Struthio camelus: one gene and its partners. The main gene of each other region encodes a partner of the protein of the gene in region 2 in a complex. Links are inferred from orthologs where the notes say so. Each region holds a gene or a part of one and is shown on either strand. Other genes may lie near its edges. The genes, in order: BET1L, STX5, STX7 and VTI1B.

Region 1 (7,295 bases), on a different chromosome or scaffold from region 2:
ATGCAGTTCAGTCATTTTAATTTTGACTCCTGGCCTGCTTTCCTTATTCATGCATTATTTGTAGCTTCTACTCATGTTTCTCCCGAAATCTTTGAAAAGCTCCCCTAACAGAAGCATAATTTCATGTTTATTTAGGACTTCTCCTTTAAGCTCTTTGCCATAACATCTTTTACTTTGATTCTCCAGTCGCCTTAATTTCCTGGCTGAGTTAAGTATCCATTTCAGATACTGCAACACTGTCACTGTGTGCTGCTATTAAGATTCCAGCTGAGCTCACATCTTTGACTCAATTGGCTTCAATGCCACAATTATCTTCTCTCCAGTCCACCTACCAGTTGTCAAAAATGCAGCATGTGCAGAAAAGTCTCTCAAAGCAGCAGTGTTACTGTGCTAACCTTCTTCTCAAATAGCTGTGTGGGATTCCCTTCCTCTCACAGTTCAGTTAATGAGTTATGTTTCTCCCAAAAAGCCTCAGCAGGTAAGCCCTCTGCTACTGCCTCTGCTACAAGTCTTTCCTCTGCAAGTGCTACATAACTTTTTAAGGTATTTCAATTTAGGTAACGCTGCAGAAACTAACAGTGCGACCTAAATATAGGAATATTTAATTTGATAGGGAAAATCTAGAGGCAAGAGAAACCTTACCTTGTTTTCTGACCTTAAATGATAATATATTTTCTAGGCACTAATATAGTAATCGGTCATCCTGGCCTTTCCCCACAGCACGGGGATTCTCCATCAGCAACCAAAGCTTAAGAGGCAGATTACTCCGGAAAGTGACTTTGGTTTTATCAGCCATTGTGCATGCGATGTTTATGTTACCTCTAGAAATTAAAGCAGAATGATAACAGAACAGGGAACCTAACAACCTGATTGCACTCTGAGCGCGAGCCTTGCTCCTTCCAAAGACATCAGTGAACCCTGACAGCTATTCTGTGTTTCAGAGATTACAGTGAGTAATCCTGACAGATTTATACAACATTACCAAAAATCACAGAAGTAACCGAGGAATAGGCCCATCTCCCAGTATTAGCTACAGGAGGCAGGTCTTTAATCCCAGTAAGTAGGTAATCTCCATCTGTATTGCTGGAGTACACTGTCCTACGTGGGTGTTTCCAGATGCTAGATACCTGGCTATGCTGCCCATTCAAAGCGGTATGAGCAGCTAATGTTTATTTATCAATAAACCCACAGTAAGCGGGTTTAGTTGAATTATGTGGCTTGCCAACGGGAAAATCTAACTTTTTCTCCTTTACTGAACTGCTATTAACTTTCACAAATAAGGTAACTGCTTGAGAGCTAGCCCCCCCAAAAAAACCATGGTTTTTACGTTTCATTGCTTTCTTACCATGCCATCCAGGTAATGGTTTTGTTCATCAGCATCTTTGTCAATATCCAGAGCCAGCTATACAGGATGAGGGAGGAAACAGGTATTAATGAACTTTTAACATGGAGACCACCTCTAGCGCATCCAAAGCTGGAAAAATTTGAAACGCAAATAGAAGAGCAAGCCACCACCTCCCCCTGCCTCCTGTATAGAGTTACAGAGCCTTGTTTGGTACAATGACAGAACAGGATTCTCATTTCCGTTGATGACTGTTTAAATGATTTTGCTCTATAGCACTGGAAGTAAAGCATTACTATCAGACAGAAGCTTCATATATATGACACAAGCATTTAAATATTCACAACAGCAGAAATCAGTCCTACCTGCTATAATACTAATCACTGATTTACACTAAGTTCTAAATCAAAGTACTTGACGTTAGCAGGGGCAAACTAACTTTTAGAACACCACATGCGTACATACCTGGGTATTTTTCAAAAGTAGCTTGTCATTTTATTGTGACTTTTCTTCCAGAGGAGATGCACTTAGCAACACTCCTCTGTGCATCTCTCAGGTTTCTCTCTGTGCCTAAAACGCCTTACCTGATGCCGCTTTTCACTAGGGAAAGTTGACTATTAGATCCACTACAACATTCTCTTAAGAGCTGCTTATAAAGAGGAAGCCCTCTGTATCGGCCAGAGGTTTGCGTCTCCCACAAGGCGCTGTGAGGAAGACGAACAACGCAGGCAACTGAAGCCCAGGTAAACTTCATTTACCGCAGCCCCGGATGCGAACTCAGCAACTCACCGATTTCAGCCTGGTGACCTTGCTGGCTAGACTGTCTGCCATACGCTTGTTCTCGGCATCTAACATATCCTCCACGGTGCTCGGACTCTGACCTGGCACAAAAAGAGAAAGGGTTTTATCGGTCCCACTTACAAGTGGCAGCATGTTCGCTCGCCCCAGGAGGAGAGCGAGTTCGCTGTGGGACGGGTCGCTGCGGCGCTCCGGACGGGCCGTTTCAGCCGCCTTCGCGCTTCCCGCATCCCACGGCGCAGGGGACGGATGGCGACCGCCATGAAACGCCCTCCCTCCCCCCCCAAGCTCTTCCACCGAAAGGAAGGGCCAGAGCCCTCGGGAAAGAAATCCTGAAACGTGCCGGGGGGCTTTAGCCGCCAAAAGTAGCTCTAAAAAAGCGCGGAGGCGCGCCAGTAGCCCTCAACGCCCTCGCTTGGGGGACGCGCGTTGTCCCATGCACCAGCGACAGGGCGCATCTCCACAGAACGCTACTTTGGCTAAAGGAAGGAAAAGGCCAGTTTGTTTTTTTTTTTTTTTTTTACCCTTCCCTGCAGCGGGGTCAGGCTGTAAAAGCGCTTCTGGGCTTCGCTGGTTTTTCTGTCCCCCAACACCTCCCCTCGTCATTGCCCAGGCAGCCCCGCCGGCATCCCCGCAAGGGCCGGCGAGAAGCGCGACCCTTTCCGCCAGCATTTCGGGGGGCCACAAGCAGTCGCCGGTGGGGGGGGGAGGCGCTACCGACGCTGTCACCCCGCGCCGCGCCGTCCCCCGCGGGCCCCGAGGCGGCGATCCCCCAAATGGCGGCGACGGCGGCGATCCCCCAAATGGCGGCGGTGGCAGCGCGCCGCACCCCACAGGGCAGCGGGCAGAAGGGAACCTCCAACCCGGCCCGGCTTGGCCCGTTCCCCTCTTCCCCCTCACCTCGGCCCCACTCCGCCATGACGGCGCCCGGCCCCGGCGGGAGGCGGCGGTGCGGGCCCGCCTCGCAGGCGGAGCCCCGCCGGCCCCCCGCCTCTACAAAATGGCCGCCGCCGCCACCGCCGCCGTTTTGGCGGGGGGGGGGGGGGGGGGGAGAGCGCGACGCAGGCTCCTTCCTCTTCCTCCTCGGCGCCGGCGTTGGGGCGCTCGCGGTGTCCCCCCCCGCTCCGCCCTCTCCCCGAGTGAACTTGTGAGAGAAAACCCGGGGACGGGGAGGGGAGAAATGGAGGCGCGGCTTCCCTTTGGCCTCACGTAGCGCCCCGAGAGGCGGAGGCCGCCCGCCCAGCCCCGGGCCAGGCGCCGCGGTTCACCCGCGAAGCCCGCCGGGGGCGGCGGGGCAGGGACGGGTCCGCAGGGGCAGGTAACTGCGCTCCGCTCGCCGCCGCCGGCTCCCGCGGAGGCAGGGAGGGAGGGGAAGGGCTCGGAGGGGCCTCGGCGGGCGCAGGAATGGCGCGGAGGGAACTTAAACGAGGAAGGAGGGGAGGGGGGGGAGTGAAGCAAAAATGAGAAGTGCTGCAGCCCGCTCTTGCTTTTTCTGCCCCCAAAGCCGCAGGGAAGCGCAGCGCCGGAGACACAGCATCTGTCCTGGCTCACGCTTGTAGACCCGCATCTGCTCGTTCACGCCCTTACCGTGAAGGACCTTGTCTGCTGAGGGTCTCAAGCAGGCCAGCCGTCATCCGGATGTGTGGTTTCGAGGCGTACGCGGTGTGTCTGCCCTGATCTTTCCAAAACGCAGGCACCGAGGGCCCCGGTGCACGGGGTTATCCCCTTCAACAGGTTCGGCAAAAATCCTAATGATTTCTACCTTTTTCACCACCTTAAAAGGCAGTCTTAAGTGAGCCAGGATGGTATTTGCCTCTCTGCCTTGCTTTCCTCTCCATCCCTTTTTACTCCACAGGAGTCTGTTTTTTTTTTTTTTTTCCCTCCCCCCTGCTCCTGGGCAGTAACAGAAATCAGGACAGCCAGAGGAGGAGGAGGCAGAGAGCTATTTCAGGGAGCTGCTGTTATCTGTTCTATGTTAATCCTCTGGCTGGGTGGGGGGAAGGTTTTCCTGAGTGCTGTGCTGGGAGGGCAGATGTTAAATGTTGGGAGGCAAAGAGAAGAAGACAGGATTAGAGGGAGAGGGAGCTAGCGCCTGGTTCTGCTTGCGTTATCTTATCTGCTCTGCTTTTATGGACGCAGCGGAGTGAGCGATCCCACTTGTGTTTTGGGGGTTTTGTTTTGTGTGTGGATTTTCTTCTCCCCCCTTCCCTCCTTCCTTTCCCCCACCCCTTTCTCACTCCCTCGGTTCTCTGTGTATCAAGGTCCCTTCGCATCAGCGTTGTCCAGGAGCTCTGGAAGTGCCCTCGCTCCCCTTCCTGCCTGTTTCGCCTCCATCAGCAGCTGAGCTGGTGAGATAATGGAGCTGAGGACTGTGGTAGCCACGGTGGAAAGCGGGGAGCAAGACACAGTTCTCAAGGTGCTTCAGGTCTACAACCAGGAGGTGAGTGAGCACCAAACCTCTGCCTGACGTCAGCTGCTTCTGTTTGTGAGCCTAGAAGCAGGTTGGCCATGTTGTGGGATTTCTGTGCCATCCGGCGGTCCCCCGTCTGTCTCCTCTAAGCGCATCTGTCTCTGCATTACTGCCGTAAAAATGTTGTAGACCGCTTCATCTTTTGTTTGCAGACGGTTTTGTATTTCGTGTTTTGGTAAGGAACAGCTAAGCAGCATCTCTTCGTCTTATTTCCTTGGTGTACTGGAATTAAAGCACATAGAAAGCATTTTTTATTATCCGGAGCACAAGTAAAGCATGGTAGGGAAATAAACATCAGCATGAATATGAAGTAGGAGGAGCTTTTAGGTTAAAGCAAGGTTTGGAGGTAATAGAACTGAGGCCCAGGGAGGAGCTGCAGGTGAAATAGTGGCTGTGATTTGCAAGCAAAAGATCACCAGCGGTGGACATGGATGGACTGCTGGAATTAGGTACAGGTGCCTGATCTGAAAGCTAACAATAAGAAAAGGATAAAAAATGAATATAGGATATGAAAAGAACGGCTAGGAAGCAGAAATGGAAGTGTTCCTAGCCTTAAAGCAGCAAAGATGATCTGTGGGGGTAGTTCCCTTTTGAAATAGACTCTAGCTGTCAGGGAAATATCTCTTAGAGCATTTCCACCAGGATAGGGCTGGCCCTGCAGATCTACATGACTCATTCTGCACTGTTCTTAAGCAGGTGGGAAGCAAGCAGGGAAAAACTGCAAGTATTGTGCACAAGTGTGCACGGGGAAAATGTGCAACTATTCCCAGCAGTCACTTTCGAAACATTGGAAATCTGAACTAAGAAGCAGAAGGTCCCCACTAGAAAGACGGTCAGCAGGATTACAGTCACCTACAGTGGACGTAATGCTGAAGAAATCAGGAGAGCAAAGAGGGAGTTTAATGTGTCAAATTTAAGACGTTCTTGGTAGAATTCCTCCAGCTGGATCCTTTGTCGGTGTATCAAGCGTAGGAAACTTGTGAGAATGTCAGTGATTTTGCTAGTCGGTCTAGAAGAAATGGAGCAGTCAAAGAGGATAGGAAACTACAAATAAACTAAGCAACTTCTCTACATGAGTTTTCACTGCAAAAACTGATAGTAAGGTATCACTTCCTGGGCATGTTTTTGGAATGCAGTTTGCTATTATAGATACGGTCGATTCTTGGTTGCCAGGAATGAAATACGGGAGGATACTCCAACTGAAGCAAAACCACAGGTATTGCAGCAACCCATACGAATGAGATGACAGGAACTTGCAAAAAAGATGTGATGGGAAAGGAAAAGAACAAGTGACATGGCGCTGTCTTCAGAGCACACCGGTTCGAGGACTGAACTGCCAGTTCCTTGTAATGTGGTGCTACAGCCTGTGTGCGTACCAACTCACAGCGCTAAAGCATGGAAGGCCAGCCCCTGGCACAGCGCTTACAGGAATTCAGATGTCCTGCTTCTGCACCGAGGTTTCTTAGCTGGCATGTCTGCATCACTGTATCCATCCTTCTTTGTTCTAGGCCAAAAAAGCCAAAGCTGTCCCAGGGATCTTAGTAACTGTGACGCTGTTGATCTGCAAACTGTATCGTCTACTTACAAGTAGCCAGGAGCTGGCCCTGTGTGTAAAAGGCAGTGAACAACAGAGGAGATTATGCTTGCAGAGTGAATGAGTCAAGGCTAACAAGGAACACGTGTGATTTCCAAAAGCTCAGTGCAGACGATCACTGACTGCAGTGAGCAGGGAATGAGATACAGTTGGACAACTGAGCAGCTCATGGGCAGGAGAACCATAAGGTGATACATACCGTAGGAGACAAGCTGAGCTATTCAGACATACGGATGGGATCTCGGTGAACTGCAATCACTCAGGAGAAGAATTAGTCCAGGTTATAAGAATGATTGTTTGTGGTAAGACTAATTGTCTTTATTGAACAGCTTCGTAAATGCATCTGTGCAATGTAACTTGGCAAAAGAGGTGATGGGGAGCGTTAAGAAAATGATGGAGATAATGACATCCGCAAACCTCTGTCTAGCTATATAAATATTGACCCTCCTTACGCTTCTTCTCCCAGAAGACCATAATGGGTAAAGTTCTGGGACCGTCTTATGCAGGAGATCGGACTGACTAATCTAACGGTCCTTGTCTGTGACTTGTGAGACAACACATTGGTGAAAGGAAAAGCTCCTACACCGCACGGTTGATCTGTGGACCTCTCTGGCAGAAGTGCTCGCAGAAGCAGAAAGGTGAATAGGATGGAGTGAGCTGTTCTGTATGCCTGCTGTTAGCAATACGTTCTTTGCAGTACTTGTTGTGAAGCCTGGCTTATTGAGAGCTGCGTGAAAGAAACTGCAGACTTCAGATGAACTTGTTTACCTCCCCACCCCGCAGTGCCGCCCAAGTTGGTGGGGGATATTTATGCAACGTTTTGTGGAGTTCAAGTGCAAGTGCAAGTTCAAGTACTGATGCAAAGTAATGCAGGGCAGTAAAGCGCACCCTGTGAGACGCCATGTGGAGAAGGGTGTTTACCTTTGCTAATCAGTTGTGTGTAAAGAACATGAGCTGAAAAACAGTTGTACTTCCAGACACTGTGGGAATGAAGAACACAAGGATCTGTTTGCAAATAACAAGAGGCAGTACTTCCTTTCCGTAAGGAAATGGAACAATAAATATCAAGGGGAAAAAATGTATTGGCACAG
Region 2 (7,541 bases):
GGCGGTGGCCGTGCGCCCGCTGTGGCCCTGCCCCTGTCCCCCTGCCTCCCCATGAACGTCCCCGAGTGTCCCCCCGTGACCCCGTGAGTTTCCCCATGTCCCTGCACATCCCCACGAGTGTCCCCCATGTCCCTGTGCATCCCGAGTGTCCCCCCATATCCCCATGAGCATCCCCCTGTGTCCCCTGTGTCCCTGCGTGTCCCCTGGAGTGTCCCCTGTGTCCCTGCCCATCCCCACGAGTGTCCCCCCACGTCCCCACGAGTGTCCTCCGCGTCCCTGCGTGTCCTCATGAGCGTCCCCCCCCATTTCCTCCCAAGTGCCCCCTCGGGCGTCCCCATGTCCCCATGAGCCTCGGGGGCGGCCGTGGGCCGATGTCCCTGCAAGTGTCCCCCCACAAACGTCCCCGCGAGTGTCCCGGCGTCCCTGCGAGCGTCGGGGGTGGCCACGCGCCGGCTGCAGCCCCCCGTGTGTCCCCCCGCGAACGTCCCCCCGCGAACGTCCCCCCGCAAACGTCCCCCCCGCGAACGTCCCCCTGCGCATGTCCCCCCGCGAATGTCCCCCCCCAAATGTCCCCCCACAAACGTCCCCCCCCCCCACTCACCGCCCCGCAGGTGAGGAACGACTGGCTCAACCTCCGCGTCCCCGTCTGGGACCGCGACCTCCAGTTCCTGCCCAGCTCCGACAAGATCGTGACGTGCACCGGGCACCACCAGGTCGGGGGGCACGGACCGGTTTTTGGGGGAAGGGGGGCCCTTTTGGGGTGGGGGGCGCTTTTGGGGGCCGGTTTGGGCCGGCGCCGGACCCTGCTGCCTCCCCAGGTGCGCGTCTACGACCCCAGCTCCCCGCAGCGGCGGCCCGTGCTGGAGACGACCTTCGGCGAGTACCCGCTGACCGCCCTCTCCCTCGCGCCGGGGGCCAAGTGAGTCCGGTTCGTGGCGGGGGGGGGGACGCCCGGACGCCTGGGCCCACCCTGACTGCTCTGCCCCGCAGCTCGGTGGTGGTGGGCAGCGCCCGGGGGGACGTGGCCGTGATCGACTTGCGCCAAGGTGAGGGGCGGCGGGGTGGCCCGGCGGTGGGGTGGTGGCCGGTGGCCCCCCCCTCACCCCAGCTGTCCCTGTTCCCCCCTCCCCGCCCAGGGCGGCTGCTGCAGTGCCTGAAGGGGGTCGCGGGCGGCGTGCGGGGTCTCCAGTGCCACCCCAGCCTGCCCCTCGTGGCCTCCTGCGGCCTCGACCGCTTCCTCTGCGTCCACCAGCTGGGCTGCAGGCGGCCGCGGCACAAGGTGGGGCTCCGCGCGCGCCTGTCCCCTCCGTCCCCCCCCCCCCGAAAACCCCGGCCCGGCCCTGAGCCCGTCCCCGTCCCCCCTCCAGGTCTACCTGAAGTCCCGGCTCACCTGCCTGCTGCTGAGCGGCCGCCAGGACTGGGAGGTGAGCGCCCGGCGCGGGGGACGCGGGCGAAACGGGGACGCCGGGGGGGGGGGACACGGGGGGGACGTGTTGAGGGACGTGGGACGCATTGGGGGGACTTGGGACACGGGGGACTTGGGGACACGGTGGGACATGGGGACATGTTGAGGGATGTGGGACGCATTGGGGGGACTTGGGACACGGGGGACTTGGGGACACGGGGGACTTGGGGACACGGTGGGACATGGGGACATGTTGAGGGATGTGGGACGCATTGGGGGGACTTGGGACACGGGGGACTTGGGGACACGGTGGGACATGGGGGGATGTGTTGAGGGACGTGGGACGCATTGGGGGGACATGGGGCATGGGGGGACATGGGGACACGGGGGGACATGGGGACATGGGATGTGTTGAGGGACGTGGGACACATTGGGGGGACATGGGGCATGGGGGACTTGGGACACAGGGGGACATGGGGACATGTTGAGGGACGTGGGACGCATTGGGGGGACATGGGACACAGGGGACTTGGGACACGGGGGGATATGGGGGGGACATGTTGAGGGACGTGGGACGCATTGGGGGGACATGGGGCATGGGGGACTTGGGACACAGGGGGACATGGGGACATGTTGAGGGACGTGGGACGCATTGGGGGGACATGGGACACAGGGGACTTGGGACACGGGGGGATATGGGGGGGACATGTTGAGGGACGTGGGACGCATTGGGGGGACATGGGGCATGGGGGACTTGGGACACAGGGGGACATGGGGACATGTTGAGGGACGTGGGACGCATTGGGGGGACATGGGACACGGGGGACTTGGGACACGGGGGACATGGGGACACGAGATGGGATGCATTGGGGGACATGGTGGGACACAGGACACATCGGGGGAGCAGGGGACATGGGAGAACACATTGGGGGACATGGGACATGGAGATGTGGGGGACACGAGACGCATTGGGACATGGGATATGTTGGGATGGGAGGACATGGGGGACACGGGACACAAGACACATTGGGGACTTGGGACACGGGGGACTTGGGACACATGGGGGACACAGGATGCATTGGGGGACATGTTGAAGGGACATGGGACATGGGGGACGTGTTGAGGGGGACATGGGATGCATTGAGGGGACATGGCACATGGCGGGACATGGCGGGACGCAGGACGTGGGGGGACATGTTGGGGGGACACAGGACACGGGTGACACAGGGGATGTGAGGGGACATTTTGGGGGACATGGGGACATGTTGGGGGGATACGCTGGGGGGACTCAGGACACGGGTGACACGGGGGATGTGAGGGGACATGGGGGACGTGGGGACATGTTGGGGGGACGGGGGGATGCAGGACACAGGGGACACGGGGGATGTGAGGGGACATTTTGGGGGACATGGGGGGACATTGGGGGGATACGCTGGGGGGACTCAGGACACGGGTGACACGGGGGATGTGAGGGGACACGGGGGGACGTGGGGACATGTTGGGGGGACGGGGGGATGCAGGACACAGGGGACACGGGGGGACGTGGGGACATGTCGGGGGGACATTGGGGACGCAGGACACGGGTGACACGGGAGATGTGAGGGGACACGGGGGACGTGGGGACATGGGACGACATTGGGGGGGAGATGGGGACATGTCAGGGGGACATTGGGGGGGCTCAGGACACGGGTGACACGGGGGATGTGAGGTGACACGGGGGGACGTGGGGACATGTTGGGACATTGGGGACTCAGGACACGGGTGACACGGGGGGAGGTGGGGACATGTCAGGGGGACACGACGGGTGACACAGGGGACATGGGGGGACGTGGGGACATGTCAGGGGGACATTGGGGACGCAGGACACGGGTGACACGGGAGATGTGAGGGGACACGGGGGGACATGGGGACATGTCAGGGGGACACGACGGGTGACACAGGGGACACGGGGGGACGTGGGGACATGTTGGGACGGGGGGACGCAGGACACGGGTGACACGGGGGATGTGAGGGGACACAGGGGGACGTGGGGACATGTCGGGGGGACATGGGGGACGCAGGACACGGGTGACACGGGGGATGTGAGGGGACACGGGGGGACATGGGGACATGTCAGGGGGACACGACGGGTGACACAGGGGACACGGGGGGACGTGGGGACATGTTGGGACGGGGGGACGCAGGACACGGGTGACACGGGGGATGTGAGGGGACACGGGGGGACGTGGGGACATGTCGGGGGGACATGGGGGACGCAGGACACGGGTGACACGGGGGATGTGAGGGGACACGGGGGGACATGGGGACATGTCAGGGGGACACGACGGGTGACACAGGGGACACGGGGGGACGTGGGGACATGTTGGGACGGGGGGACGCAGGACACGGGTGACACGGGGGATGTGAGGGGACACGGGGGGACGTGGGGACATGTCGGGGGGACATGGGGGACGCAGGACACGGGTGACACGGGGGATGTGAGGGGACACGGGGGGACATGGGGACATGTCAGGGGGACACGACGGGTGACACAGGGGACACGGGGGGACGTGGGGACATGTTGGGACGGGGGGACGCAGGACACGGGTGACACGGGGGATGTGAGGGGACACGGGGGGACGTGGGGACATGTCGGGGGGACATGGGGGACGCAGGACACGGGTGACACGGGGGATGTGAGGTGACACGGGGGGACGTGGGGACATGTCGGGGGGACACGGGGGACGCAGGACACGGGTGACACGGGGGGAAGTGGGGGGGCGGGTCCCCCTTGCCGCCCGTCACCCGCGGTCCCCGCCAGGCCCCGGCCCCGGCCCCGGCGGCGGCGGCGGAGGAGGAGGAGGAGGAGGCCGAGGCCGAGGCGCTCTGGGCCGCCATGGAGACGGTGCCGCCATCCAAGAAGCGGAAGGCGACGACGTGAGGCGCCGCCGCGGGGCCCCCCCGGCCCGTAACGGCCTCTTTCCCCGGCCCATAAAGGACTCTCGTGTCGCCCCTCGTGTCCCGCGTCCCCGATTTTGCGTGGGGGGGGTGTCCCGGGTGGGGGTGGTATCTCAGGTGGGCCCCACCCGCGCCCGCCGCCATCGCCCCTTTAAGGCGCGGGCGCCTGACGTCGCGCGCGCGGCGCCTGACGTCGCGCGGCGCGAGACGTGGCAGTGACGTCGGGCCGGGCCGGTGGGTGCCGGGCAGCAGCGCCGCGCGCTCGAGCCGCGGCCCGGTGAGCGCGGGGGGGGCGGGGCGGGGCCGCGAGCACTTCCGGGTCGGCCGCGCTCGTTGGGGGGGGGGGGGGGGGGGTCGCCCCGAGCCGTCGGTCCCTCGGACGCCTGGGCCCCTCCCGGGGGTTTGGGGGAGGGGCAGCGTGGTGCCGGACACCTGGGCCCCTCGGACGCCTGGGCCCCTCCTGGGGGTCGTGGGGGGGGGGTGGGGCAGTGGGCTGCAGGACACCTGGGTCCCTCGGACGCCTGGGCCCCTCCTGGGGGTCGTGGGGGGGGCAGTGGGCTGCAGGACACCTGGGTCCCTCGGGCGCCTGGGTCCCTCTAGGGTGTTAGTAGGGGTTGGGGGGGGCAGTGGGGTCCAGGACACCTGGGTCCTCGGGTGGGAGGGGGTGAGGGGGGGAACGGTGGCCTCGGACACCTGGGCCCCTCCCGGGGGTTGGGAGAGAAGCCCCACTCACCTGGGTCCCTCGGACACCTGGGCCCCTGCAGGGGGTTGTGAGGGGAACCCCCGGACGCCTGGGTCCCTCGGACGCCTGGGCCCCTGCAGGGGGTTGTGAGGGGAACCCCCGGACGCCTGGGTCCCTCGGACGCCTGGGCCCCTGCAGGGGGTTGTGAGGGGAACCCCCGGACGCCTGGGTCCCTCGGACGCCTGGGCCCCTGCAGGGGGTTGTGAGGGGAACCCCCGGACGCCTGGGTCCCTTGGACGCCTGGGCCCCTGCAGGGGGTTGTGAGGGGAACCCCCGGACGCCTGGGTCCCTCGGACGCCTGGGCCCCCCCAGGGTGTCAGCAGGGCTGGGAGAGGAGGGGAGCGAGGGCTCCCGGACACCTGGGTCCCCAGCGGACCGTAGGGGTGTGGGGAGGGTGAGGGGGGGTGTCCCCGGACGCCTGGGTCCCTCTCAGGGGAATTGGGGTGGGGGTGGGGGGGCAATGGGGTCCCGGACACCTGGGTCCCCCCCAAGGTGTTAGTGAAGGTTGGAGAAGGAGGAGAAGCAAGGGGCTCCCGGACGCCTGGGTCCCCGGGCCGCAGGAGGCCCCGGACGCCTGGGTCCCCAGCAGGTGTTGACGGAGGGGAGTGGGGGGGGGGGTCGCGGAGGTCCCCCCCCGGCAGCAGCGGGTGCCCCCCAGCTGACGCCCGGCCGGCGGCAGGTGATGAGCCCCGATGAACGCGCGGCGCCGCCACGGCTCTAGGAACACGGAGCAGGGCGTCTACCTGGGCCCCCCCCGGACGCAGGCGCTGCCCCCCGCCTCCGCCGCCGGCCCCCCCGTCACCGCCGCCGCCCCCCCCGCCGCCATGTCCTGCCGCGACCGCACCCAGGAGTTCCTCTCCGCCTGCAAGTCGCTGCAGAGCCGGCAGGTGAGTCCTAAAACGGAGAGGGGGGACGGGGGGGGGACACACGCTGCCCCCCCCACTCACCCCCCCCCCTTCCCCGCATCCGTCCCCCCCCCCCAAGAACGGGCTGCAGCCCAGCAGACCGGCGCTGAGCGCCGCGCGGCAGCGGAGCGAGTTCGCCGTCATGGCCAAGTGAGTGATGGCGGGGTGGGGAGGGGGTCGCGGTGAAGTTGGGGGGGGGCCCCCACGCGTGTGTCCCCCCCACACACACCATCCCCGGCTCTCACGGCGCCCCCGTCCCGCCGCAGGCGCATCGGCAAGGACCTGAGCAACACCTTCGCCAAGCTGGAGAAGCTGACGATCCGTGAGTGCGGCCGGGGGGGCGCAACGCGGGGTGGGGGGGGACACGACGGCGAAGACCCTCACCCCCCCGACCCCCCCCACCTTCTCTACCCCCCTCCGCCTCGCAGTGGCCAAGCGCAAGTCGCTCTTCGATGACAAAGCGGTGGAGATCGAGGAGCTCACCTACATCATCAAGCAGGTGGGGGCCGGGGGACGCGGCGGCGGGGACGGACGGACGGACGGACGCGCTGACGCCCCCCCCCTTCCCCCCCCCCGCCCCGCAGGACATCAACGGCCTCAACAAGCAGATCGCGCAGCTGCAGGACGTGGTGCGGGCCAAGGGCAGCCAGAGCGGGCGCCACGTGCGGACTCACTCCAACACGGTGGTGGTGTCGCTGCAGGTGCGATGGCGGCGGCGGCGGCGGCGATGGCGGCTCCCTCCGCCCCGCCGCTCACCCTGCCGCCCTTCCCCTCCGCAGTCCAAGCTGGCCTCCATGTCCAACGACTTCAAATCCGTGCTGGAAGTGAGGACGGAGGTAAGCGCTCGCCCCCGCGCCGTCGCCTTCCCCCCCGCCGCCGCCGCGCCGGCTCTCACCCCGCCATTGCCTCCCCCCAGAACCTGAAGCAGCAGCGCAGCCGCCGCGAGCACTTCTCCCGCGCCCCCGTCTCCGCTCTGCCCCTCGCCGCCGGCAACCTGGGTGAGCGCTCGCCGTGGCGGGGCCGGGGGGGGGGGACCCCGGAGGGATGGGGTGGTGGTGGGGGGGGACGTTCGGTGCGGGGCGGTCTCGGCCCCCCCGTCTCCGCGCTCAGGCCGCGCTCTGCCGCAGGCGGCTCCGCGGTGCTGCGGGAGGAGGCGCCGCGAGCCGCCGACGTCGCCATCGACATGGACGCGCGGAGCGGCCAGCAGCTGCAGCTCATCCACGAGCAGGTGGGGGGACGGGGGACGGGCGGCAGCGACGCCGGGGGCCGACCGCGCAGCCCCCCGACCCTCTCCCGCCCCGCAGGATTCGTACATCCAGAGCCGGGCCGACACCATGCAGAACATCGAGTCCACCATCGTCGAGCTGGGCTCCATCTTCCAGCAGCTGGCGCACATGGTGAAGGAGCAGGAGGAGACCATCCAGAGGTAGCGGCCCCCGTGTCCCCCCTCACCCCGCGCCGGGCTCCCCGCCCTCAGCGCCCGCCTCTGCCCCCAGGATCGACGCCAGCGTGGAGGACGCGCAGCTCAACGTGGAGGCCGCCCACGGCGAGA
Region 3 (7,483 bases), on a different chromosome or scaffold from region 2:
TTCCAAACTATAAACGTGACTTCCTTTGTAAAGAAATCTCTGTCTCCCCTTTCCCCTCAAAAAAGGATTTGTACAAAATCCTTCACATAAGGAGAAAACAGTCAAAAAGGATGAACATGTAAACAGCAGAAAGATTCTGGCAAAAAAGTGACAGTGAGTCACAATCTTAGCTTTAGAACATTAATGTCACAGTAATAACTGATTAATAAGATTTCTGCAATATGACATTGCTCAATCTATTTCACCTCAGTAGGTTTTACCCCCCATAGTACCGAGATGACACTAAGTGCATCTAAAGATTGACACTGGCAGCTATTTAAGGCAGCCCAAAACACATACTGTCTTTGGACAGCAGCTCTTGCTGACCTTGGCAATCCCTTTGGAGTAGGTAAAATTAAACTTAAAAAAATTAAAGCTCTTGGAAAAAAGAACAGACTCTACACTGTAAGGTAAGTACTCCCTACTACAGCACCAGAGGGATGTTCATAATTGACTTAAAACACTGTATGATATACAGGTGAGAATTAAAACTATTTTCTCCAGCAGGGATGAGGGAGGCAAGTTTCGTCTGGATGCATTTACTTTTTTTTCTCCCCTTATACTTAGGCTGAAGTATTTTGGAAAAAAGAGATCATACTTTCCACCTTGTGCTTCTGCAGTTCCTAACATGCTGCATTCCTGGACCACAAAGGGACTCTGGGCACTTCCACAACACCAGAAAACCTATGGAGCGTAATATACATGCAAACAGAACAGGCATAAAGAGTATTCTTCCCTTTCTACTTAAAAGGAATACTAAAGACTCTGGATGTTAACTTCCATCATCTATCTTCAGGCCAAAGTCAAACTTAAATCCACACAGGGTACTGAGGAACAACAAAGTCTCTTTAAAACTTCCGTTGTTCTTATGCAGTAAGTGACATAGACGACATCAGACGGTATTTTTCTATTTCACTCTGCTAAGTTACTGCATACGTTGCACCCCGCAAATCAGTCACATACAACATACAGTAAAATGCTTTTTCAAAGCTGTGTCTACAACCAATATGGGGACGGTTTGATTTCCCTGACAAAGTCTACAGCTGTCCAGTTAATTGTCAGAGTAAAACGGAAAGTGTTTAATTTTTGTAGATTTTAAACTAGACTGCTAACAATTTCTGATTTACCACAGTGACAGAATCACACAGGCTGGGGGCGGGGGGGGGGACTTCAGGAGGTCTCTAGCCTGACCTCCTGCTCAAACCGGAGTCAGGAGTGAGTTTAGTCAAATCCCCTTTTCTCCGGGCTAAGCAAGCCCAGTTCTCCCAGCCTTGCCTCAAAAATTAGGCTGAAACACACCAAAACCAAGTTTTACTTTATGTAATTGCTGGAAGTATTTCTTTTTTTAAATATGAAAAATAAGAATTATCAGACTGTGCAACAAAACACGTTAGTTCTCAAGGAAATACCTTAACAAGGGGAATTATGTTCCCCAGAGAACACAGAGCGTTTAGAGGCCTGACAGCGAAGCTGGAACAGTAAAACACACACTGGATACTGGAACTATTGGGGAGCGAAGGAGAGGGAGCAGCTGGGCTGAAAGAGGAATGGAGATGGCTTTTTCAAAGTGCCCCGTTCCTTATGATCCAGGCTAACAACATCTTACGAGAAAACGAATACAGACCAACGCCACCGAACACCTAGTGCAATACACCTTTTCTTATCCAAACCTCCCTAAAGAGAGCTTGTGCACCTTTAACCAAGGGCTCAGATTAAGTATATTGATGTAGAAATCATCTTTGCGTAAGGTTTGATTGTGCTAGATGCTGATTCTCTCCAAGGCCCACCAAGACGATGACTTAGAAATTAAGACCATGAGGAGTATGCAAAGAGCATCTCTTCCACCTATGCCACCAACATAAGAGTAACTTAGTATTTGCATATGAGGTTACAAAAGATATTGTCATGCAGGATATACAAATACAGTTTATGGCAATGCCTCAACGTAGCATTTAGCATCCCTGTTTTAACGTGTTTTAACTTCTGTTTTCTTCTTTCCTTTTGCTAAGAGCACTCACGTAAATCCCAAAGCTTAAAACAGCAGGACTGCAGTGCCGCCGAAACACATGACGGTATGACTATTAGTCACGAATCCTCCAGGCAGCTGCACAGCACTCGCCCTGCCGGCACATTTCTGCAGCTGGGCACTGCTTGTTTATCAGGGGAAAGGGTGAGAAGACGCGGTCACCTCAGTCCCGGCCATAAGTATTCCCAGGTTTTACCATTAAGTGCTTTGCACTTCATGCAGAGCAGAGCCAAACCTTTCACTTCCTCCTGTAGTTGCAAGTGTCTGCGTCTCATGCGGCAGCAAGGCGCTCAACGAGAAAAGCAGCGATAACGCTGTGCCACAAGCCCAAAATGCCAGGCCCAAGCTCACTATTTAAATATCCGTCTGACTTTTATAATCTTCCTTCCCTCCGCTGACGTGTTTTGCTCATCTGAGGTCTGAAACAACACGGGGAATGTTTTGACACGGCGACGCTGAACATCACCACGGAAAACCAGCCCCGGCCACACACGTGAAAACGCACCATACCCTGTCCCAAATACCGCCTTCAGGCCCCATTTCCCCCCTGGACACACCAGAGCTGACACAAACGTTACCCCCCCCCCCGCCCCGGGGCGCTGGCAGGGCCGCGCCGCCCCTCACCGCGCTCCTGGCCGCCCCTCTCCCGCCGGGCCCCGCGCCGCCGCCGCCGCCGCCAGGCCGCAGCCCGGCCGGCCCCGCGCCCCGCTGCCGCCCGGGAGGCGGCCCGGCCCGGCCCGGCCCGGCCGCCAGGCCCGCCCGGCAGCCGCCGCGGCTCCCACCCCGCCGCCGCCCCGCTCCGCGCCGCGCAGCCCCTTCCCCACCCGGCCGCGGGTCTCACCGGCCCCGGCGCGCCTGCTCCCCCGGGCGCGGCGGGCGGGCGGCAGCGAAGGGGGCGGGCCGGGGCCGGGGCCTGGCCGCCCGGCACAGCGCGGCGCGGCGCTGCGCGGCACCGCCCCGTGCCGTCCCGTCCCGTCCCGCCCCGGCCCCGGCCCCGGCCCCGCCGGGGGCGCCAGTGGGTGAAGGGAGAGTGGGTTTGGGCGCTGTTGGGGGGCTGGTGCCCCGCTGCGTGCCGACCCTGCCGGCCGAGGTTTCTGGGTTGGGGGGGTGTGGGGGGGTTGTTTTGGTTTTGTTTTTGCTGTCTGCATGGGTTCAGGCTTGAAAAGGCGGTAGTCCTTCGAGGGTGCGTGCAAGGCAGTGCGCACGCAGAAGAAAAAAAGGAAATGTGTATGCACTTTAGCCAGCTTGTCAGCACACTGTGATCGTGCATGAGTGAAAGAGTTGCCTATGTGAGAATGTCATTTAAGGAAAAGATGCTGTTGCAGCAGAAGTTTATATATTTATGCACGAGGTAGTGGTGGAACAATGAAGAATTCAATGTCATTACATTGACTTCCATAGCATCCTTCGCTGAAGCACGACTTCCAGTTCTGGTCACTTCATCTCTAAATGGAAGTGGGCACTTCTAGAGGCTGAAGGTGGGTGGAAAATGATAAATTTATTTAGAGGCCTGTAATCAGTAATTAGCTGAGAGAGAAGGCAAGAAATGTTTAGAATAATGAAAAATGAAGGGTACATACACGCATTTGTTAGCAGTCAGTTTAGTGTGTCAGTAGTAACTGATGGTATATAACTGCAAATGCAGCAGAAGACGTGGTACCAGGAAGCAGAGCCAGGAAATGGGGGATCCGTTCCCCTCCTGACCCAGTTACCTGAGAAAAAGGGACAAATGAGCCTTTAGGCCTCTTGCATCGCAGCTGGGAATGCTTCTGGATCCTGCTTGTCTTTTTGAAGGGAAAATTACAGGGTCAGATGTTCTCCAGCGCGCTGCAGGCTGGCCTGCTTGGTGTACAAGACGCTCCCGTGTACATTAAATACAGCAGAGCAAGCAGTGCACGGTATGTGATTGCTCTGGAAAGTAATCTTGTCAGCAAAACCCAGCTTTGTCTAAAGACGAGCTACAGACATTGGAAGGTGTACTCATTTGCCAAGCCTTGACCTGCCTCATAGGCACGGTAGTTTACTTCTGCTATGACATAAAGCTCAGTCATTGCTAAGGTTTAGAAATAATCAGAACAATGAAAACCTTAATAACATCATAATCTAGTAACACTAATAAAGAAGTCCAGTAAAATACAGAGTTCGGTGAAGTTAAAAAGCCTGAAGTATCTACCCTTTTCAGAAAGGGTGCCCCTGACATAGGTGATTTTTAATGTGTCTCAAAGTATGCTGCAATGAGAGACAATGTAGTCTCCAAGACTGGTATAGCTACACATATTTCTTTCATGGATTGATGCTGGGAAATGAACTTTTTTTATTTGTATAAGTTAAAGTTATTAAGAAAAAGCATTTTGATATGTCTGTCCTTCCTTTCATTTGCTGCAGGCATGGTGTACATCTCTTCATTCAATTTTTCACGTGCCACTTTGATAAGCAACTATCCTAGTGCTGCTATATTTGTGGGGCTTTTTTCCAAGTATTGTTGAAGTACTCAGTCCAAGGTAATTCCACTAGGTGGTGCGTTCATGACAGTATAATTCGCTTCCCTTCTGAATTAAGGCCCTGCCTTGATTTTTATCTTCACATTTTTGTCATATTGATTGATTTCTCTCCATTGATTAAGCTCAGTCACTCTTGATTTATAAAGCCTCAGCTGAGATCACTGTCAGTTTTCCCCCAGAAAACAATATATCTCTTGCTATCTGATTTCAAATATGTACTTCTAATTAAAAAAAAAAGAGAAGTGACCCTAGTGACCCTTTGTGAGTGAGAATACTTTATCTGCAGATCATAGTTTGGATGCAATGTGCTGTCATCATAAACATGGGTCAATGTTCATTCTTATGCTATAGAAAAGCGGTATCCAAGTGCTTTCATAGAGACACTTGGTGTTTTATGGACAAAACGCTGCTGCTCACATGCTGTTAGTAGCTCGCTTAGCATCCGTCTTTTATTGTTCATCGGCTCAGAATTTTTGTGATACTGCTCTTTGATGTAGCAAGTTGCTGCAAAGATATTATAGCTTGGAAGGAACGTTGGCTTGTAAAGCAAACTCGTCATTAAAATGTTGTCCATACTATGAAAATATTTGAATTGACTCTTTAATATAATTGTATAAAATAATTATGAAGATACAGTTAAGAAACCAGCCAGAAAGTCCTGTTATTTGGTCAGATATTGCTAAGAGCACGATATGTCTTTTGAAGATATTTGTTATCTCCTATAGAAAAAACATTTACTAGGGAAATGCTGCTTTGCCTTACCCTTTTGGATAAAACGTGAGTATTCATTCAATTTCTGCATGGTTTCATTTACTAGCAAATATGGATGTTTTCAGTGGTGCTTACTCCATGAACAGGAGTTGTGAAGAAGCACCTCTTGTATTCAGAGATGCAGAAGAGAAGTGCTGCCACACAATTTTACGTATAAACTCATTTCATTGACTTATTTCTAGAGTTCCCACATCAGTTATTACTTGTGTACTGAGTTCAGAATCAAATACTCACCTCCTTAAGGAGTACCTTTCCTTCTGCTTTTGGAGCATGGTTAAATATCAGTTGACTAGGTGAAATGAGGAAAAGCCCTGGGGAGAGAAGGAAGAATGCTGAGACTCTGGGATGCATAGGTTTGGGGTACCATGGAGGATGCTTTGGATATTCTGTGACTGTGAAAATCAGGGTATATGCCATTTTATATTCCTGCTGCTGTGTGTAAAACTGAACTAAAAGAACTGTCACCTCAAAAGCGATGTCGTTTCCCCTTTTACTTTCAGACTCTTGAGGGTTCATATGCAGTACGGTATCTGATATTTGAAAGATTTGAAAGTGAACCAGAAACAACACAGCATGATTTTGAACTGACACACCTTTCTCCCAGACCCGTATCTGAATCCTTGGGCTCTTCCTGCTCCTTGACTCTGTATTTCTGCCTCCCACATCCTGCTCCTGCCCTCAGCCTTAGCCTGCTGCCACGCAGGGCCCAAGCACGGTGGCGGCCCTGGGCAGGCAGCTGCAGAGCAGGAAGGAGGTGCTGCAGGCACCAGAGCTGCTTTTGGCAGAGGAGCTGAGTAGTCGTGCCTGTGTGATGCACAAAGAAACGATAGGGAGGAGGCCCAGCCCTGTCCTCATACTCTTAATGAGTATCCTCTTTCCAAGGCGTGAGAGGTGTGTAAGTGGGGCATAATTTACCTTATGGGCAAATTTCATTCTCTGTTATCACATTTCGTTTATGCGCCTCTAACTTTAGATTTCAAGGGCAATGTTGCTAGTATTTGCTACAAATGGCAAACAGTCTAGCTGGATTTCCCAACCGGTTGCTATTAATGCACTCCATTAGAGTGAAGAATTCCTGTTCTTGTTGTTGTTTCTGTTTGCTAATTGAATCAAACTATCACCTCAAGAACCTGAAATAAGACGATGTTCATTTTACAGCAGATGCTGTACAAAATTATGACGTAAGAAGGTTTCCAGCCTGAACAAGCTTATAGACTAATTACATGGCCAAATGGCTTCTACAGCCTATTTGTTTAAATAACTCTACCAACCATTTGTGTCTTATTTAGGCTGACACTTATTCTCCAGCAGAAGTGATTAATGTGGTAATATATGTTTGAAATGAATGGAGAAGATTTCTGTTCCTAACATTGATAATATTTCCTAAAAAAGGATGAACATGAAGTTCACAACTTTTTTCACAACTTATTTTCACAACTTGTTTCCACAACTTTCTTTGCCTTTCTGTTTAGTTCCGTAAGACCATATTATGTTTTCATCCACAGCAGTGAAACAAGCCAATATTGATAGTACATTATATCAAAGCCTAGTCTTTAAGAAGTACCTTCAAATGCATAATCTTTCAAACTTCAGCCAAATCAAGGTTTAAAATGATAAGGTGCTATACAGGGCGTAAAATTAAATGGCAATATTTTGCTCAGATAAAAAAATACAGACGTACAGAAGGAAAGCTATTAAAGGGAATAAAATCTATGAACTAGAGGTCAGCAACCATTCTCGGATAGAACCTTATAGATTTTCATTTTGAAAACGAGGTCATTGTTGAGCAACAAAGCTTCATCATTTTAAAACTCATCATCATCATCATTTTACAATTCAGTCACCTTCATTGCTTTTCGAAAACATGGAGAAAAAAAGTCAAAGCGATCATGACAGAGTCTGACTTTGTAAACCAAACAGACATCAAAGGCAAAGGGAGGAGTAAGAAGGCATCAGTTATGACTGTTGAGAAACAGAGTGACCAGAAAAACAGGAAAACAATCGCAGCCAGCATCACAGCAGCTTTTCCCTCTCGGTTGCCTGCTCTGTCACTGTACATCTCAGTCAACTGGTTCTGCTTCTCTCTCTCTCTCTCTCTCATTATTCCAGCCTGCCATTTAGACAAAAAGGAGATCTTGAAGATCCT
Region 4 (6,902 bases), on a different chromosome or scaffold from region 2:
CCAACTCCAAAGGCTGTTCGGGCCTCTGCACCAGAGTAATGTGCCATCAGGACACGTTCCCACCACCATTATATCTTGCAGCTGGGGTTTTCACCAAGAAAAAGGATAACTAGGTGCTATCTGTTAGACTCCCAACTCTATAGATGGGAGTGCAAGATAATCCTCCCTTAGATCCAGAAAAGGGACTACTGATACACATGCGCACACATATCAGTTTCAAAGGGATGCTTGCTGATGTAGGACAGTGACTTGCCTCTTCGTGCAAGATCTCTGGCTGTCTCCTTCCCAATGCCTGTGTTGGCTCCTGTGATTATCACCACCTTCCCATCTAGCTTAGCTGTTGACTTACACTGTCCTCCAGCAACATACCTCCTGGAAAAGAAGATAACAGGAACAAGAGGATAACAAGAAAAGGTCCAAGGACAGTTTTTCTGGTTATGAGGTACAGGCCAGGGCTAATCACTTACAGCTCTTGGTTGGCTGTGCCCCAGCAGCTGGGCCAGTTACTGCTCTCAGAATAACCTGTGATTCATGTGGAGAGTTACCTAAAGTGGTTCCACCTGCCAGTTCACTACACCCCTCCTTCCCTCCTCAAGCTTCCAGCAGCTGCCTCCTCTGATTAGGTGTCCCGATCAAGCCACCACGCCAGGTTCCTAGTCATCTTCAAACCCCTCTGCTTTGAGCGTAGCGCCAGTGCTCGAACACAGAGCCGACAAGCCCAGCTCACCCTCGGCGCAGCTGACGGCCAGTCGTGCGGAGAGGAAGGCTCGGCGAGGACAGAAGGGCGGGCACCATCACCGCCTGGCACAGAGGCGCCTCTCCCAGGCCCTCGCGGGTGAGGCTCGGGTTTCCACGCCGTGCTGCCGCACTGCCACCAAGAAACTCGCAGCCACGCCGCTAGCCCGGCGGGAGAGGCCAGTCGCGTCGCTCTCGGTCGGGCCCCCGCCGCCCTCCAACCGCCGCCCTCGCGCCGGCTTCGCCCGGCCGCGCCGTTGCACAAAGTGGAGCCACGGCTCCCCATTGGCTGCCGCCATCGGCAGGCGGCCATGCGGCGGCTGAGCCCATGGGCGCGGCGGCGGCTGCCCGCCCCGCCGAGCCGCCGCCGCCGGAGCCCCGCTCGGACCGCCGGATACAGCGGCGCAGCTGTATTTCTGCCTCCTAGGCGGGACGCCTTTCCCGGAATAAATTTCCAGCTGTGGGAGCCTGAGGAAAGGCAGGCAGAAACATTTCAAGCCACCTCTCGAGGAGCAGACGGAGGTGCGAGCCAGCCTACTGCTCGCAGCTGGGGCAGCTGTTGCTTTCTATTGTCTCCCAGTAGCTGATACAGAAGAGCACAGAAACTAGGGCAAAAACTGAGCGGAGACCTAAGAGCATCCCAAATCCTAGGGCATGCGCGAGATTGTTTCAAATACATTGTTAATTAGACACGAGAGCTAGAGAAGTTGAAGTAACATTTTAGCCCCACGAGGTTAAAAAAAAAAACTATTTTATTTACCTTCCTTTTAAAAAAAAACCTAAAACCTGATGGGGACAAAGACCCAAGCAACCAGGATTTTTTTTTACCTAATCCTTCTTCCTAGACATTAAAGGTGCTACTGAAGAACGGATATTTCTATATATCTTTTATTTTCTGCACAGGCATTGAATGATTTGTATTTATTTATTTATTCATTTATTTTACGAACGCAGAAACCAAGCCCGCTGAGAGCTTGCACAGATTTAACACAGCCGGCGCCAGACGGGGCTGGCTGCGATCGCCTTGCTTAAATTCCTGTACGAGCTTTTTTATTTATTTATTTTTTTTTAAGAGTCACAGACTCACGCGCATGCAAACACTAGGCCCCCGGACCCCTGAAATAACGACACACCCCGGCCTGCGCCCGGGTGCTGCACCCGCTCCCGGCGCCGGCACGGACGACGCGACCTGCCCCCTCTCCCATCCGCGCCCAGGAGGGCTCCCCGCGCACCCAAAACACGCGTACAGCAGCCCCGACAGACCTGAGGTAGGGGGCTGCCACAAGGAGGAGAAGCGGGAGTGAGACAGCCGTCCCCAGCACGGCTCCCCAGCAGCTGAGCATCGCCGCCGCCGGCTCCATGCTCGCCGCCGCTCTGCCTGGCAGCCCGGGCCAACGGGAGGCCCCGCCCCCGAGACGCGAGGTATGCCGGGAGCTGTAGTCCGCAGCCGCTTCCGCGCGCGGCATGCCGGGAGCTGTAGTCCGGAGGGCCCCCGCACAGCATGCCGGGAGCTGTAGTCCGCAGCCGCCACCGCCCCCCCCCGCACGGCATGCCGGGAGCTGTAGTCCGGAGCCGCCCCCCCCCCAGGAGCGGAGCCCGCAGCGGACCCCGGTGGCGGAGGCGCGCACCGCTGCCTCCTGGCCGCGGAGGTCCGGTGCGGTTCCGCGTGTCCTCGATCACGGCTGAAGAGCTCTATGTCCCCCCTAGGTTTTCCTTAAAGTTACCCACGCTGTGATTTCGTTTAAATCCCTGCCTGCGCTGTGGGCGAACGACACGTTTTTGCTTGCTTGCCCCGGCGCTGCAGCAGTAGCCTGGCTGCGGAGGAGCAGGCCGGTGCCCGGGCCAGCCTCCCCGGTGCCGCCCTGAGCATCCCCTCCGGCTCAGAGACCACCGCGCAGGTCTGGGCACCCTGGCTGTCGGACACTGGCTGTGGGGCTCGGCGCTGTGCTGCCCTGAGAGCAACGTTTGCAAGACAGCAGGCACCTCACACGTGTGTGCAATGCCCCTACTTCACCCACTAATGTCACTTAATTCCACTAAGGTGAAAGGAATTTCAGCTGTGCTAGCTGCTCTAGAGTCCTCTTCCACTGAGCCTGGTTGCTACGCTAAGAGATTCACGTTTAGCTCTTTGCTGTAAATGTACTACCCTACTTGAAATATCAGCTTGCAGTATAAAGCCAGCTGGCTCTGCACCTTCGGTCTAATGTTTTCTCCCGATGGAGTACACATCTCTAACCTTTGTCTTTCTGAACTATTTTAAACAATAGTTCTGCTGTCTTAATAAAACTTTCCTATTATTCGGCTGGGAAATACCTGAAGAGAAAGCTCAGGAGTGGTCTGGAGGACAGTTATGCAAAACGTCAAAGTAAGGTCATTTATCTTTAAGCCCTTTCTTAGCGTCATTCCTAAATTTATGATATTAACCCCAGCAAAACGTACAAAATGGGTACGTATACCTATATGCCCACACATATAAAGGGCTGGGGGACACGCTCCTGCCTCCAAGTCCGTGTTCAGTCCGCAGATGTTCACTCTCACCTCTACCAGAGAGTTAAAGCAAAAGTCCGGGGCACCAAATTGCTTTGCCTCCTGGTACCTGAGCTTCCCTGCAGACGCGCGTCCTGGCCCCAGCTGCAGACAGCGCGGCGGCCTGGCCGCAGCCCGCCTTCCTGGTTCTCGAGAAGCAGCTGGAACCCAGGGCCCTGCACACACACACCCCTCCGGGGAAAAAGCCTGTTTCAGGGCGTGCCTTCCTGTCAAGGTATACCACCTGTACGACACAAAGACGCTAACCGCAGACGCGACCTGCCATCGCAGTCGGAACGAAGACGTTTCACGTAAAGCCTCTTTCGGGCCGGGAAACATCGGCTGCAGCTTCAGCCGCGCCCGCCCCGCCGCCCCCGCGCAGCCTACGCGCCCCAGCGGGCACTGCGCGGCGCGAGGCCCCGCGCCCCGCCTCGGGGCTGCCCCGGCAGCGCCTGACGCCCCCCGCGGCCGTTGGCGGCCGTTGGCCGCTGCCGACGCCGCGCCAGCCCTCTCGCCAGGCGGCTGGCGGTCGAGCCCCGCGGGGAGCGGTCCGGGGGGGGCGCTGCCGGCCGTGCGGCCGGCGGCACCGGGCGGTTTTGCGGTCGGGCCGCGCTTCGGGGCGCCCAGCGATGCGGAGCGGGGGGTCCACGGCGCCGCCGGGCTGGGAAGCGGCCGCCAGGAAGCGGCGATGCGTCGAGCCGCGCGGTAGCGGCGCGGGCCGGGGGACGCGGGAGCCGGCGGCGGCGGCGGCGGGACGCGGCTGCCTGCCATGGCGAGCCGGGGCTCTGGCTCCTCGGAGCACTTGGAGCGGCTGCATGAGATCTTCCGGGGGCTGCACGGAGACTTGCGGGGCGTGCCGGAGCGGCTGCGCGGCAGCGCGGCCGGTGAGCGGGGCAGAGCGGCGGCCGTTACCCGCGGCCGGGGGGGAGGGGCTGGAGCGGCGCGCGCGGCCAACGGCCCCCGGGCGCGGCCGTGACGGGCCCGGCTGGGCTCCACCGGGCGGCAGGGCCTTGGCCGGCCCTCGGACACCTCCCCCGGCGAGGGGCCGTTCCCCTGGCTGTGGCGGGGTCTGGTCGCTGCGCCGTTCGTCGCTGCTTCCCTTCCTCCCTGCTCGGAGGCCCCTCTGCCGGGCCCTTGCCGGTGCTTCCCGGCCGGCCACCCCGCTGCATAGGTGGGGCCTGCTAACTAACAGGACAGCTGCAGGGAGCCTGGGTTGCTTTTCTGTAGATAAATCCATTTTTACAACCAGAGAACAGAGTCTCTCTAAAAGCCCTTATGGAGGGAAGGAGTTTGCTAGGACAGTTGCAGGAAGTTGGTGCATCACTTCGAGCTGACTTTCCTTCCCCGCGACTGTCCCTTGGTTTGCTTCCTGGGAGGTCATGCTGTCGTGGCTCTGTTAGGTCCGGCTTCTCTATGTCTTATTTTCCCATTACTGCTATTTTCTCATAGCTTTGCTGTGGAGTATTGGGCATAGTCATGTAAAGCCCCAGACATGGAAACAGCTGGGTGCTTGTGTCACTTTACCCCTGGGGAGCAGTTCCTCTTGCCTGGCAAATTGCAGCTCTGCAGCCAAGCGCTGCTGTGCTGCTGGGCGTTCAGCTTCAGTCTCAGCTCGGTGGAGAGGTGGTTACTTGGTGGCACTAGAACTTTACCTGGATTTGAAGTTTTAGCATATTTTCATGCTATTTGCAAGTGAACTGCCTGAATTGCATTTCTCTCATCAGTGTTGCTATCTTGTTTCAAGATTTCAGTTCAAAATCTCATCAGTTGAACTAGAAGCTGTTTTCAGCAGTACGTTTGTCTGAAACAGTTCATAGATTTATTTACCAGTGAAATTTTCTATTGTAAAAGACTGTTTTAAAAGTGTGGTCTGTGCCCTACTCACAGCCTAGAAAAACAATCTAATGTAAAGCAAACTAGACAAAGTTCTGCTAGGCACAAAATCTAATTGTTTAGGAATTCTTTGCTAAGTAATGGAGCTCATACTAGTGGTTAAAACACTCTCTGACAGAACACCTCTCTGTAAAGACTCTGTAGTGCCTTTCCAATTCAGTTCTTAATATTCGGTTGTGTTCTGAGAACTGGAAAGGGAAGTGATCTGGCAAGGAGAATTCTACCAGTGTGGCCGACTCTGGTTAAATACTTGCTTTAAAGGAGAAACGCGATACGTAATTGTCGTGAACTGCTGCAACCAGTTTCTTCTGAGTATGGGTGTTCTTTTGAATGAGTAGAGGTTATAAGCCATGCTCTGTGATAGTTTAGTCTTGTGATCCCCAGAATTCCTTAGTTCCATGTATTTAGGTATAAAATCACAAATCCTGGAAATAATTGGTTTGTTCAGAATCTACCACTCTGCGTGCTAGATAACACGTGCTATGAAAAGCTTAGTATTCCATTTCGTATCTGGCTCTGTATTTAATATTGAGTTAAATTCAGGGTCACAATCCTCATTATCAAGGTTCCAGAGAGTTTGGCACAAGAGGGACATTCAGAACTGCAAATTACAACTTTCAAAGCTGACTTAATTTCACTGCTGGTCAGCAAGAGTAAAAAACATACCCTCTCTTGGAGAATGGCCTGTGAATCTGGATATTGTTTGCATAAAATTTTTTGAAGATGGTTTTATGAGACAGCGACTGTCCCTGCTGCCTTGAAATGCAGGATCTGTCTCTTAATACCTGACTTTAAGGAAAAGAATGAGAAAATACTGTGCTTGCATCACTGTTTACTTGAAGGGCTCTGAGGGAATTGAGAATGTCACTAACATTACTTTGGGTTGAAAAGTTCCATAGAGCAAGAAGTACAACACTCTCTATTGTAATTTAATTTTATATTTATAATATTAAAATAATAGAAATTCCTTATAAGAGATCCTCACTTTCTTGTAGAAAGGAGAGTGATGAGTTTTTCAGTAAAGTAGAGCTTTGTCAAGACTATAATAGTCTTGAGCGGTAGATGTAAACAATATTTACAGGAAACAATTTTTGCAACGCTTGCAGATTTTTCAAAAGATTACAAATAATTACAAATTGATTATTTCAGACATGCTACAAAATTTTAGTATAATGATGTTATTCTTTAAATCTGTTACTGGAAAAAACAATAATACTCTGGAAAGTATTTCCAAGAGAGTTTAAGATATGTTAGGAATTTCTCTATCTGGTGAAGGCATGCTGCACTGCTGGTGTGCTTTGTCTGCTTCTAATACATATGGGGTGTGCATGTCTCTCTTTCTTGAGATATCTGATTCTGAGAACTTCAGGAGACAATAAAAGAAATTTTACACACTCCTTTTAAGATGTCCGGCACCTTCCCAAAACTCCAGGTAAGACAATCTTTAGTTCCTTGGTAGCCATCTTTGAGGGACGCAAATTTGGAAATGCTATTCCGTTCTGTACCGATAAGATAACGGAATCCTTGATCTGGAAACCTTTTCTCTTCCACGTTTATAAGAAAGCATTTCAGATAGCCTGGATCAGTTTAAAATATACGTTTCTCTAAAGAAATTCAGTTTTTTGTACTTACAAAAAACAGTACAGCTTAGGTGCGTCATGTAAATGAGAGGAGCTATATTATAATGTTTTGATCACTTCAAAACTTTCTCCTGTTCAGCTGTTGAAAGCTTAGTGCCTTAAAAAGCT

What was found.
Region 1: STX5 (region 2) and BET1L share a complex: the UniProt entries of both Homo sapiens proteins name them as parts of the SNARE complex. The link is inferred for Struthio camelus from reciprocal best matches to the Homo sapiens genes STX5 and BET1L.
Region 3: STX5 (region 2) and STX7 share a complex: the UniProt entries of both Homo sapiens proteins name them as parts of the SNARE complex. The link is inferred for Struthio camelus from reciprocal best matches to the Homo sapiens genes STX5 and STX7.
Region 4: STX5 (region 2) and VTI1B share a complex: the UniProt entries of both Homo sapiens proteins name them as parts of the SNARE complex. The link is inferred for Struthio camelus from reciprocal best matches to the Homo sapiens genes STX5 and VTI1B.

The regions. Positions count from the first base shown.
Region 1 is NC_090946.1:7,685,348-7,692,642, forward strand, and holds the start of BET1L (BET1-like protein), read right to left. Parts: upstream 3,006-7,295; 5' UTR 2,813-3,005; coding exon 2,665-2,812; intron 2,224-2,664; coding exon 2,132-2,223; intron 1,403-2,131; coding exon 1,346-1,402; intron 1-1,345. Other genes in the region: RIC8A (synembryn-A), read left to right, coding at 4,497-4,580. UniProt on the Homo sapiens protein: Vesicle SNARE required for targeting and fusion of retrograde transport vesicles with the Golgi complex. Required for the integrity of the Golgi complex.
Region 2 is NC_090976.1:561,331-568,871, forward strand, and holds the start of STX5 (syntaxin-5), read left to right. Parts: upstream 1-4,523; 5' UTR 4,524-4,619; intron 4,620-5,763; 5' UTR 5,764-5,776; coding exon 5,777-5,971; intron 5,972-6,068; coding exon 6,069-6,139; intron 6,140-6,255; coding exon 6,256-6,311; intron 6,312-6,417; coding exon 6,418-6,488; intron 6,489-6,573; coding exon 6,574-6,690; intron 6,691-6,768; coding exon 6,769-6,825; intron 6,826-6,905; coding exon 6,906-6,987; intron 6,988-7,116; coding exon 7,117-7,217; intron 7,218-7,293; coding exon 7,294-7,415; intron 7,416-7,485; coding exon 7,486-7,541. Other genes in the region: speckle targeted PIP5K1A-regulated poly(A) polymerase-like, read left to right, coding at 612-713, 819-919, 991-1,046, 1,137-1,279, 1,368-1,424, 4,206-4,325. UniProt on the Homo sapiens protein: Mediates endoplasmic reticulum to Golgi transport.
Region 3 is NC_090944.1:71,939,686-71,947,168, forward strand, and holds the start of STX7 (syntaxin-7), read right to left. Parts: upstream 3,012-7,483; 5' UTR 2,907-3,011; exon of another isoform or gene 2,890-2,906; intron 2,719-2,889; exon of another isoform or gene 2,690-2,718; intron 2,485-2,689; exon of another isoform or gene 2,341-2,484; coding exon of another isoform or gene 2,301-2,340; exon of another isoform or gene 2,228-2,300; intron 1,576-2,227; exon of another isoform or gene 1,449-1,575; intron 1-1,448. UniProt on the Homo sapiens protein: May be involved in protein trafficking from the plasma membrane to the early endosome (EE) as well as in homotypic fusion of endocytic organelles. Mediates the endocytic trafficking from early endosomes to late endosomes and lysosomes.
Region 4 is NC_090946.1:46,592,382-46,599,283, reverse strand, and holds the start of VTI1B (vesicle transport through interaction with t-SNAREs homolog 1B), read left to right. Parts: upstream 1-3,900; 5' UTR 3,901-4,030; coding exon 4,031-4,145; intron 4,146-6,902. Other genes in the region: retinol dehydrogenase 12, read right to left, coding at 254-372, 1,999-2,201. UniProt on the Homo sapiens protein: V-SNARE that mediates vesicle transport pathways through interactions with t-SNAREs on the target membrane. These interactions are proposed to mediate aspects of the specificity of vesicle trafficking and to promote fusion of the lipid bilayers.